3 linked regions of the Caenorhabditis elegans genome follow. The protein of the gene in region 2 purifies or fractionates together with the protein of the main gene of each other region. This does not show direct contact. Each region holds a gene or a part of one and is shown on either strand. Other genes may lie near its edges.

What was found.
Region 1: the proteins of wrt-10 (region 2) and pges-2 fractionate together in Caenorhabditis elegans (co-fractionation; one large-scale study listed by BioGRID). This does not show direct contact.
Region 3: the proteins of wrt-10 (region 2) and dhs-5 fractionate together in Caenorhabditis elegans (co-fractionation; one large-scale study listed by BioGRID). This does not show direct contact.

Annotation. Positions count from the first base shown.
Region 1 is NC_003282.8:10,365,720-10,369,641, forward strand, and holds pges-2 (Prostaglandin E synthase 2), read right to left. Parts: upstream 2,072-3,922; coding exon 1,835-2,071; intron 1,787-1,834; coding exon 1,688-1,786; intron 1,641-1,687; coding exon 1,488-1,640; intron 1,439-1,487; coding exon 1,152-1,438; intron 1,109-1,151; coding exon 994-1,108; intron 946-993; coding exon 793-945; 3' UTR 614-792; downstream 1-613. Other genes in the region: NAD-dependent protein deacetylase sir-2.1, read right to left, coding at 2-130, 202-351, 416-469; iars-1 (Isoleucine--tRNA ligase, cytoplasmic), read left to right, coding at 2,896-2,999, 3,061-3,922.
Region 2 is NC_003280.10:7,532,683-7,536,558, forward strand, and holds wrt-10 (WaRThog (hedgehog-like family)), read right to left. Parts: upstream 1,882-3,876; 5' UTR 1,765-1,881; coding exon 1,576-1,764; intron 1,500-1,575; coding exon 1,264-1,499; intron 1,217-1,263; coding exon 952-1,216; intron 901-951; coding exon 814-900; 3' UTR 580-813; downstream 1-579. Other genes in the region: wrt-1 (Warthog protein 1 N-product), read left to right, coding at 1-107, 178-458; ZK1290.13 (MARVEL domain-containing protein), read left to right, coding at 2,501-2,572, 2,623-2,716, 3,160-3,275, 3,324-3,421, 3,471-3,553, 3,602-3,738.
Region 3 is NC_003280.10:5,451,805-5,456,560, reverse strand, and holds dhs-5 (putative oxidoreductase dhs-5), read right to left. Parts: upstream 2,715-4,756; coding exon 2,536-2,714; intron 2,231-2,535; coding exon 2,010-2,230; intron 1,961-2,009; coding exon 1,853-1,960; intron 1,459-1,852; coding exon 1,136-1,458; intron 1,082-1,135; coding exon 776-1,081; 3' UTR 584-775; downstream 1-583. Other genes in the region: daz-1 (DAZ protein 1), read right to left, coding at 1-227.

The sequences.
Region 1 (3,922 bases), on a different chromosome or scaffold from region 2:
CCGCGTTCTCTGACATTGTTGCAATTCGTGATGCATTAAAATCAGGAAAAATTTGTTGAATAATTTGTAATGGAGTGGCACCATCATCAAGAAGTCTTTGAGCACGACGAAGATTCGACATCATTTCGTCCTGAAAAATATTAATTTAGAAACATTTTAATCTCCTTGGGAATTTATCTTCATTTTTTGGCGAAAACTCACATTATTTTGCCAAGACTCTGAACTGACACTGGTTGTACTTTCTGTTCTTTGTCTACTCGAATCTGTGTTTGTTTCGGGTGCATCGGAAATATCTGTTTCTTGTGTAATGTGCATAGAACCGATTTCTGGATTTTCCTCCGTTATTTCTTGCTGAAACATTTTACGTTAGGTTGTTAGTAAGGAAATTTTAAAAAAATCTAATAAATTAACTCACCACTTCCCCGTGTGTGACCGCAACTTCTGAATCGTTGCCACTATCACGTGACATCGTTTATCGATATGATTAATTTTATTAAAAGTAGACCAGAACTGAATACGAAAATCAATTCAAAAGTGAACCAACTGCGTCAACGGGAGATACCAAATGCGCGTCAACAAACGCTGCATGGCGCAAACTGCCGTCTTCATGAATGCAGAGTAAAACATGGTTTATTATGAGGGAAAAATGTAGAATTTTAACTAAAATGAGATCCTAGCTGGTAAAACATTGAATTGATTCAATAAGACAAATAGGATGAGAAAGATAACAAAAACACAGCAAACAATAAGGCACTAAATCAAGGACTAGTCTATATTAACAATTTCAATCTTTTATTTTTGACTTCTTGATTCCAATGCTTTTCTTCCATCGTGGTTTTTGACAAGTGCATCCATTTTTCGCCACCATTCAGCAATTTTTTCTTCTAAAATAACTTCTTTGAACGCTGAGCATCCATAGAAAGAATTCATAGCTCCATATAATGACTGAAAATATATCAGATTGTAAATCCTTCTCCAAAAAATCAAACCAACCAGATCAGCTAGATTCGGTTCATCTCCTCCTAAAAACTGTCTATTTGGTCCAATTGCTGCCATCCAGTCACGACAAGCCTTTCTCAATTCTTCTCGTTCATCATTGATGTTGTGCCTTTAATATCAGAAATCATGATATAAACTTCTAACTAACTTACTTTTTCTTCAATGTTTTTGAAAGTAAAAACATTGCTGCTGCACCCACGTATACCGCTAGAACTCTCTCCCAGGCTGGAAAAGTACGATGCCAGTCGCCAACTTGTTCGAACCAACGGAATGTCTCGACAGACTCATTCCAATTACGATATACATTAGGAGAAATAAGATGGATGAACCAATTGTCCACCCATTCTCTCCATTCCCGCTCTTCTCTGGCAGAAGCCATATTTGCGTCCCCGTCTACTTTTCCCTTCATAACGAAGAATTTGTTAGGGTAGTTGAGAACCTGAATCAGCAAGGATGTTTTAAAATTGCAGAGTAATTCAAAAACCCACTGGCTTTCCTTTCTCGTTTGTTGAATCAACTGCTGGATACATTTGTATTATCTGGTCGAGTGACTGATCGGGTCTTTGAAGATATGTTGCCAATGTGGAAATAATCAAAGTAGACTCGGTCATAGTTGTCTCGCCACTCCTGAGAATTGGAACCTGAAAGAAAATAGATAAAACAACCGGAAATGTGAATGAAAACTTACTTTTTTATAAGTTGTGCTAAACTTGATCTGTGATCTAGTGACTGGATTTACTTCTACAACCTCATAGGAGAATCCGTGATAATCTAAGAAGGCTCGAACCTGTATTTTTGATTAATAGTTTTCATACTTCACACAAGAGTAACGCACCTTGCAACAGAACGGGCAAGTCTCGTATTGATACAATCGGAGCTTCAAGTTTGACTTATCCAGGTGATTAATAACTTTTCGACTGAGGAGGACATCATTCTGCACTTTCTCGGGTTGCTGAACTTGAATTGGGCATGTTCTGAGTTTTGCTGTTTGGATATCGTCCAGCTTTGATCCTCCCCACGAGAATCCAGCCAAAGAAGCAATCTGGACTGTCCGTACACCAAAAAAACGCATCTGAAAACTAAAAAATGAATTTTCAGTTCATTAAAAGAAAACGGGCGGAAAAACACAACGGATCGGTTACATTCATACAAATTTCACTGAAAAAACGCAAGAAATGCGCTTTTTCTCGCGAGAAACCGTTTTCCACTACGGGGAATATCAAATTTAAATCAGCTTCATATTAACTTTCACTTTATTTGTCTGAAAACGGACTGTAATTCATAAAAAAAAATTTTCGGCGAATTAAAAAGACGGGAAATCGTGGCGAGACCCTGCTGAATAAATGCATGCGCCTTTAAAAAATTGTTTTATTTGGAGTTCCCATTTTCCAGTTTTCTTCTTATTTTGATCGGTTTTTCATGCAATTCCGATGTTTTTTGTCATTTAAGTTTGTTGAAAATAACAACTAAATAACATTTCATTTAACTCAAGTACTTATCTGACTGCTTTAGAAGAGGTTCCCATGTTTTTGGTAGTATTTCATTTGTATACATCTCTTTCTACACTGGAATAGTTTATCTCACGCTACTGATGGTGTCAATTTAATGTTTTCTTACTAACTAGATGAAAACTTGGTAAAATTACTCGAAGATGTGCCTTCTAGATACGAAACTATGCCTTAAATTGTCCTTGATAACGTTTCCGTTAACACCACCAATTATTCAAATAAATATATCATATTTTAGTATGACGAATATTTAAAAAATTACTACTTCCATCAAAATTTCGCAATACGCAATAAAGAATGTTGCATCAGATTTCATGTGATTGCGTTGTTATTTATGTTAGTCGCCTAGTGTCTAACTTTCGCATATTTAAAATTTACAGGGTAAAAAATGAGCGGCCTTTCGACCGTTCCCGACAACATCAATTTTGCCAGAGAAGAAGATAAAGTCGCTCAAAAATGGCAAGATGAGAATACTTTCCAACGTTCTGTTGAGTTAGTTTTTTTTTAAATATTCTGGAATTGTTCACATTGAAAAAAAAAACGTTATCTTCAGGCTGTCAAAAGATCGTCCACATTTCACTTTTTATGATGGACCACCTTTCGCTACTGGCCTTCCTCATTATGGTCATATGCTTACCAGCACCATCAAAGACGTTGTTGGTCGCTGGGCTCATCAAAACGGTCACTATGTAGAAAGACGGTTTGGTTGGGATACTCATGGTCTTCCAGTCGAATACGAAATCGATAAGACGCTTGGAATCAGTGGTCCACAAGATGTCATGAAAATGGGAATCGCTAATTACAACAATGAATGCCGAAAGATCGTTATGAGATATTCTGGCGAATGGGAGAAAACAATGGGACGTCTTGGTCGCTGGGTAGACTTCAAGCATGATTACAAGACTCTCTACCCGTGGTTCATGGAGTCTGTATGGTGGGCTTTCAGCGAGTTGCATAAGAAGGGCCTTGTCTACAAAGGTGTAAAAGTTATGCCTTTCTCTACTGCTTGTTCTACTCCACTCTCCAACTTTGAAGCTGGTCAGAATTACAAAGATGTAGTAGATCCAGCAGTATTCGTCGGATTCAAATTACTCGATTGTCCGAATAGGCAGCTAGTTGCATGGACAACAACTCCATGGACACTTCCATCCAATCTAGCTCTAGTTGTTCATCCAGACATGCTGTATGTGGTCACTAAAGATAAAACGACTGGAATCGAATACGTTGTTCTGGAAGAACGTCTCGGAGAGTTGAAAAATGATAATTTGGAAGTTATTGAGAAACTTGCTGGTAGTCAGCTCAAAGATCTCAGGTATGAACCATTGTTCCCATACTTTGCCTATATGCGCGAAGAAAGAAACGCATTCCGGGTATTGAATGACACTTTTGTCACCTCTGACTCTGGTACCGGAGTT
Region 2 (3,876 bases):
TCCGCAGCATTTCATCTACAAGGCTAACTGCGTTACAGAAGAAATGGAACTTGTGTATGCTGAGGATATGACCATTGGGGATTGTCTGATGGTGAAGGAAAATGAAAGTGAGTTTTTTCAATATCAGGAACTTCAGCGTTTCAACTTTGAAGTTATATATTCTACGAATCTTTTCAGAACTCGTGATGACAACTATCAGTGAAAAATCAACATTTTACGAGACTGGAGTGTACGCTCCAATGACTGAAACTGGAGATTTAATTGTTGATGACGTGTATGCTTCATGTCACAATGTTGTCAAGGCTAACACATTATCTCATACTTTCCTCAACTTCGCCACTTCCGTTCAACAAAAGATGCGATCAGTTCTTGGATCATTAGAAGAAACTGGGCATCTTCCAGCCACTTCTGAATTCTTCTTGAATATCATTGATGTTCTATTGCCACATAAGTACTAGTCATCTCTTCAATTTTAATAACTAATAATTATTTATAATAAACCTCCTTGACATGTCGATCTTTTCAATTTTTCTCTCAAAGGATAATAAATGTTTTCAAAATTTTTATGTCAGCTTTGAAATCTTGATGGAAAAGCAATTCAAAAAATAATAGATCAAGGAAACATTGTAGAGAAATATTTTATTAACGGTATTATTAAAATGAAAAGCTTATTAAAATGTACAAACTCGTTTTGATATGGACTCATTGGAATGAATGCGAGTGGATTTGAATGAGGGAAGAAAAGATCATCAAACTTGATAGGAAAGAAATAAAAAAAATAGAGGTAACAAAAAATAGTGAGGGCACACGAGTTTAAGCTCTACGGATTCCAGTCGATTGTCTTGGGAAGTGTGGTGGACGGTAACGAAGTGGGTTGAATGGTTTTGGTGCTGGGGTAGTCTGCAAGAAGATTTCAATATTTCAGATAGAAGGAAGCTCTTATAAACTCACTGTAACTTCCTCTTCTTCCTCGGTTTCCTCTTCAACAACTTCCTCTTCATCATTGCTCTCAACAATTTCAGCTTCATTGTCATTAGGCTGATCTTCTTCAAGTTGTTCAGCTTCCTCTGCTTCTTCCTCCACAGTTGGGGTAGTTGTTGGTGCTGGAGTAGTCTTAATGACTCTTGGAGCAGAAGTAGTAGTGATAGGATCAAAATCAACCGGTTTCTCTCCCTTGGCACAGATCATACGGTACACCCAAACACGAACTCCTCCTCTGAAAAATTAGTTTTAATAATTACGATGAGAACTTTAAAAACTCACTGTTCAGTTCTGGCATTGGCAACGAAGTCGTATTCAGCTCCACCCTTATCTCCATAAAGATCCTTTTCAGCAACTTCTCCTCCTTCGTAGAAGCTTCCAGCAGCAACAACATCAGTTCCTACGTAAATCTTGTTTTTGGCATGCATTGTGCAACAGCGGAGCAAGATGCTCTCACCGTTTGGAGCCCATCTCATTCCGGAGAAAACATCGGTTTCAGCACGGCAAGAAGTTTGATCCTAAAATTGGAAATAAATGTATTTCTAACGTTATAATTTTCAATATGCAAATTACTATTTTTGTTTCTAAACTTACGTCAATGCATCGTTTTCCAACTTCTCCACAAGGAACTGGTCCACATTCAGCTTCAAGTGCTCCGTCTTCATATACAGTCAGTTTACGAACGACTTGATTTTTTGTGCACTGAGATCCGACACGAGGTGTAACAGCATCCTTTGCTAAAACACTAATAAGTAGACAAGAAATAACAGAAACAAGGAGCATCCTAGCTATTTGGAAATAAGTGAGTGAGATTTTGGAGGGCAGCGGGAATATAGACGATGGGGATAGATAAGAATGCGGGGAGGGTCGTACCGATGAGTAGTAGATTACTGGGTTTGTGGGTCACACAGATGTGTCTCCAACAGGAAGATCGACATGGGTCAAGGCCTGAAGTAGAGAAAGTATTGAAAATTAGGAGGCGAAAGAATGATACGGATGTCGGACACGGTGTGGACGGACCGATTGTTGCCGAAAAAGTCCACGGAAAAAAGGGCGACATGTTGTGTGTAATGAAGGAGAAAACTGAGAAAAATGTAGGAAGCAACGGAAAATATGTCTGTGTTGGAACTATTCGGAATAGTAGAATGGGTTGTACATACTTTTTAGTACTCAGAGTAAAACAAATTTAAGATGTTGAGAGGTTCTAAATAAACCGACAATCTCCGATGTTATGTAGACAGAAGCTGAATATATAAACTAACAGTATTAAAAAATCAGTGAAAATATCTTGTGTCTAAATTATGTAATTTTTAGCTGGTTTCTAACAATTGAAATGCAACAAAAAACTTTCCGTTTGAACTTCAATCCGATTACCTAACTCCATTCTCTGTTCGTTTTTAGTTTTTATGTTTGCCTATTTGCTTCGCCATCTATAAAAAGTGTTATCACATACAGGCAGAGTATCACTCGCTTTCCACTCTCTCTCAACCATATTATTGCTCTTTTCTTTCTTTTTGTGATGACTCAAAGAGTGCCTCGCCATGTTAGTCCATATGCTCACGCACCGAAGATATTTGGTTTGAAATTTAAAGTAAGACATTTAAATATTCTTATTGTATTTCACAAATAGTAATATTTCAGATAGCCTCAAAAGTATTGCTGGTTTTTGAGTCAATACTTGGAAAATTAATTTTGGTATTATCGATTTGCTCGCTTATTTATGCGCAATCATGGTGTAAGTTGTGGTTTTCAGTTCAAGATGAATTTTAATTTTTATCATGCAGCATTTCCCTTCAAGTAGGCTGATATTTAAGCAGTAGATTTATCCCCACAATTATTGAAAAACCTCAGAAATTGTCTGAACTTTTAAGGCTTATACTAATAGAAATAGTGATTTTATGAAAATGAAATTAAATTGTCTTTTATGGGGCGGAAACAAATGGAAAATACATTTGAGGTAATTTTTGGGGAAGCTCTACAACATAAATATCAGTCTATTCCATGAATAAAATTGTTTTTTTAATTACATAAGTGTACAATTTAATTTTACCCGATTGTACTTTGAGTATATCACATTGAAATTCAATCAGTAATTTTTACACCTTCATTTCAAAGTACATAATTTCTTTAAAAAAAGACACCGCTTTATAGATACTTGTAACATTTTCCAAATTTCAGATCCTGTATTCCTCAACTTTGCATTTCTATTTTTTATGTTATTTGCCATAATCACATACAACTTGTGTCTATCGAAGCAATCACCTATTTTTTCGTATCCAATGTTATCATATCAAGTAATAATATTTTGCAATAGTTTATTATTAATTTCCTAGCTATTTCAGTTGGTTACAATGTTTTGGTTGTTCATTTGGCTTTATTCGGCTCTAAATGCGGTCGCTAGCGGAGTAATGTGGTCGTTAGAGTCTTTGGGAGGCCCTTCGTATCTCTTTCAATTAGAGATATAATACTAATAAGTATTGAACTTTCAGAACAAGCAGAATTCGTACTTCCCATAACATAAAAGACTCAAACTACGCGAATCCAAATGAAACCCATCCTGAAACAGCCAGAGGTAAGAACATCAAATTGAAGCTCAAAAGATCCTGATATCCCACTACAGCAATCAAATACGGTGCAATTATCTCAGCTGTATGTGTCATCCTGATTTGTCTAAAAATGTTGGCATTCATTGTGGCTCGACGGACGTATTTTCAAGTTCTCAAAATGCAGCATGAATCCATTGAGCAATCTGTTCAGGTGGTGTCAATAAGGCAATTAAACAATTTGAGCTGAGTTATTCAGAAAATAGTGTAGAAAACAGAATAATACTATTTGTCAATAAATGTTAAGTTTTTGGAGAATCTTACATCAGAAAACATTTTTGTAATCAATTTT
Region 3 (4,756 bases), 2.1 Mb from region 2:
GAAGTTGGGAAGCCACCAACGAAAATACGGTTTGGAATCAGCTCGTATGTAGGTGGTGCTGGTATTAGTGCGGCTGCTCCGGTTGGATAAAGTTGTATCGGAGTTGATGGAAGAGAAGTCGGTGTTTGTGGCATGAAAGAGACCATCTGATGAGCAGCTTGCTGTGATTGATTTTGCTGATGTTGCTGATTTTGTTGGTCTTTTTGATACCGTAGAGGCGGCGACATCATAACCCGTTCGCTTTGATTCCAAGAACCTAAAAAAATGAATATTTATTAAAAAATGCTCAAATTGGGATAATTTTTAAAAAATACATTTAAATGAACAACAATTTAAGATTTTCGAAATTCTAACCATTAAAACTAAATTATTTGTTCAAAGCAATTTTTAGAACACTTATTTCTTGAAAATAAAGGTGGAAAGAAAAGGTTAATAATTAAAATTAAATCAAAGCGAAGTTAGATGTGCAGGTCAACATCAGCTACCGTACTGCACGCGCCAATTCAAAATACAATTTCAATATTTTCTAACTGTCTTTTTTCAAAAAGCTTTTAATTATTGTGTTTCAGAAAGACAATTTAATCTCATGAAAATATTTATTGTTTCGATAAATTTCACTGCAGGGGGAGTTGACAAAAACCAGAAAAAAAAACAAGAAACGAAATAAAATTTCACAAAAATAGATACAAGAACATGTTATTAGAAATTAAAATTTGTATGTAAAGCACAATTTCAGAGGGAAAATGAAAATTAAAAACAACTATTCTTTTCAGTATTAGGCAGTGGCCGAGTCACGAGTGACAGTTTTCTTTGTTGTAGGCACCACCGTTTCCTCATTCAATTCTTGAAGTGAAATTTCCTGTTCTGGGTTATTGCTCGTATTGTGCAATTCTGTCACACGTTTTCTCTGATGATAGTAGATTGGCATGATAAGGTACTTGAGAATAGTCCATGGGAACAGGTGGAATCCGAGCATTTGAAGCTCATGGTTCAAACATCCAGCAGTCTTCTTCGTCAATCCAATTGAGCCAACCGCCTGGTGGCAGAAGTTTTCTGGTGTCACAACGAATGTAGATCCTTTCTGGAAATAAGATTGTAAATTAATTTTCTAAGAACTTCGCAAATAACTGCTTACCGTGTAGTAGGTCATTTTTGTGGCGACCAATGCAGGGATCAAAGTTTGAACATTGATTGTACTGTACTCGCGATCAATCGATTCGCACAAGAACGTCATCAAAGCCTTTGTTGCACAATAAGCCGCAAGCATGGGTATTGGCCGTACTCCTTGTGAAGACGAGAGCACAACAATCTGTCCACCTCCAGATTTCTCCATTGGTGGGAGCACACATGATAGGAACTCGGCTGCACCCATTCCATTTACTCTCAATATTTGAGTGTCCTCATCTGGATTGTCTCCATATCTTTCCAAATTGTCGCGACCAGTTCCAACGCTGTTCACTGAATGGCAGCTTTGAATAAATATATTCAATGTTTCTTGGGATTTTCCCGTCAAAAGTTAGTCATATGAAACAGAATGTTTACAGAATCTCCATCTGTCAAATTACAATTACAGTAACCGGTTTTACTTGAGTTTTTCCTAATGGTCAACTTGTGATAATTGAATTCGCAAAACCACAAATGGCAGGTCAAGTTCTTTAATCTAATTGGGACAAAGTAAACATTCTTATTTATATTTCTTTCTAAAGTTTGAGACATTTTTCATATTACCAACTGAAAAGTCTCAATCCATATGTTCATTATTCAGGAATTTTCCAAGAAGTTTTAAGTAATCAACTAGCCAAATCTGCCCTACATTCCCTCATATTATTCCCCTTTTCACCCAACTTCTTACCGACAAATCCAACATCGATGTCGCTGATGTAATCGCGAAGGCTTGAGAAGTCGCCACTACCAAAGTCAAACACAAAAGTCTTGATTTGAGCGTCCGAGTGCTTCTCCTCTGAAAATTAAATAAATTAACAATACTAAATAATAATAAAACAACTTACCAATTTCTGATTTAACCGAATCAAGTTTCTTTGGATTTCTTCCAATAAGTACAAACTTCCGGAGACCTCGCTTTGCAAGTTCCAATGTGTAAGCTTTTCCAATTCCATCGGTTCCACCGGAGACGACTGTCCATCTGTGTTGGTACTGTTCCAGATTTGGTTTGTAGAAGAGAGGTGCAATTGTGTAGATGAAGATTGCTTTCAGGAATGCAAAGAATGTTCTGAAAAAATCAAGTTTATATCTCTACCATACCTCTACAGTAACCTGAACGCAACTTGTTTTCACACCTATGAGTTTTATATCACAAGACAACGGTTCACAAAAATGTTCTAATGAAATCTGTGACTTGAAATTTTCCGCATCCTCTTTTTCGCGGCTTTCATGAGAAGTTTAGAGTCGCGTCAAGACCTGGTACAGTATTCTTAAGTCATAGATAAAATCATTTTGCATATAGGTAAGTTTTCACTACAGTAATCTTACAGTACCCATTTTCCAATTGACTATTCAATTTCACTACATAAATACCTGTATAACCGATATCCCACATAAACGACTGGAATTAGAAGAAGCATTGTAACAGCTAATTGAGCACCGTTTTCTACGTGGAACGTTGGAAGAAGAGAGTGTAGAGAGGCAAAGAAGGATGTAGAAGACTCCTCCGGAATGAGGGTTGAGGAGAGAGGTGGAGGTGGAGTCGGCGCCATCTGGAATAAATAGAAAAGAGGTTCAGATGTTATCTTGAAGAGGTCAAAGAAGAGGATACAAAGATTGTAACATACACAAAAGAGTAAAGTAGACAGAATACTATTCGAGTAAATAAAATGTTTAGTGGAAATTTACTTTGGTCTTATTGGGTTGGAAAAGTATAGTGTAGTATCATTGCTTTCTCCAAATATCATTTCAAGGTTACATATCAAATTTTGTTAAATTTTGGTTTAGAAGTATATTAAATTTTTATCATGCGTTTAACTTCCAACAAAGCACCAAGTTTTTCAAAAAACATTATTAAGCTCAACTATTAACATTGAGAGAAAGGTGCCATGCATGTTTTTTCCAATTGACAGTTTTCTGAAAAAACCTTTTTTGTGCAGACATAAAATTAAGTTAAAAGGTTAAAAAACTGCCAATGCCATAAGACATCAAAAAGTTTTTAGATTCACAATTCGTTTTCTAATATAGTGCTTCTAAAAAACTATCTGTAAAAGATATTTTCTAGTCTATTATTTCAAATTTATGAAGAAAACTAACAAAGAACCCCATGAGAACAAAAATTTGCTAAAATGATGAGATGAACTGAATGCCCAGATGTAGGCTACACGACGGTTGTGTAGTCCACATAAAGTGGGGTGGGAGAGGGGAGTGTTATGGTCCCAGTATGGCAGATCATGCATTTAGATAGTGTGCTAATAGTAGTCTAAGAAATTAGTTAGTTTCTCAAAAACAATTCGAAATATTTCTTTAACTTACAGAAGTTGGCAATAAAAATTGTCGCCAAAAACTAAATACCGTAAATCCTTAAGTGTAAAATTTGCATAAAGAATAATACGGCAAAAGTGCAACAGAGTTAAACGGAAAAGTAATGTGCGAAAAACTGAAACCGTATGAATTTTTTTCAGCCAAAAAAGTAAAGGAAAAGTATCTTATAAGACCTCACAAACTACGTCGATTAGCTGGAATTTCTAAACGTGGTCATTTGAATAATTTTCCAAATCTTGACATAATTTAATTTCTGGTAAAGCTGTTTGAAATACTGCATAACTTCAAAATTAGATTCATTTAAACCTCAACTTATTCACTCATATTTACCTACATTGCTTCAAATTCATCTCTCAACATATCGAGAAAAAAAAACTTACAATGTCAAACATGGCAACAAATCGTAACTTTTAGAATATAGCAACAGAAGTGAGAAAGAGGTCAAATTGTGCGTGGCTATAGAATGAAATTGAAGCCATGCAAAGTTTGAAAAAAACCAGTTCAAAACGGAAAATCGGGGGATCATAGAGAACGCCGGAAAATACATATAAGGAACCTTTAATCTTTGAAATGAAAAATATATAGAAAATGCTATGATGGTTCCAGGACCGCCGCCCATATTAAAATGAAATAATAAGAAATTTCAGTCAGGAGGCAAGCAAATGATAATAGATCAACGGTTACACTATCATCATCATTTCCTGTATTGATGCCCAGTTTTTAAAAGTGCGGAATATAACAAGAGAAAGTCCAACTGGGTAAAAAAAACCTTGATCTACTAGTCAACGAAGACTGAAACATTTACGGCAACAAAAAGTTTTAGATTTATTAGACGACATTTGTAAAAATTTATGTTACTCATTATTATCTTTACCATTCCAAAAAGTTACAGGTATACTCTTATGCATTTAACGATGTTTTCTATGGTCCGTTTTTTGTATTAAACTGGTTTTTCAATAAGTAAAAGTTTTAAGAACATTATTGCACCAAACTCTGATATGCGAAAATCTTTAGAAATTTCTGAAAAACTATAAAATTGCAAATCCCAAATTTAGCAATTTTACAGTTTTTCTGAAATTTTTTTCTGAAATATTTACGATATAGGCATTTTCTGTAATTATGTCCCGTGTTGCCTACAACAATTATTCAGAAATAAATTCATTGAAAACTGTCGAAGATCAATATTTTCAGTTGAACATTTTAATTCTTCAATCAATTTAAGTTGTGCATCTTTAAAAAATGAAGAACATTTCGCATTAGAGGAAATGAG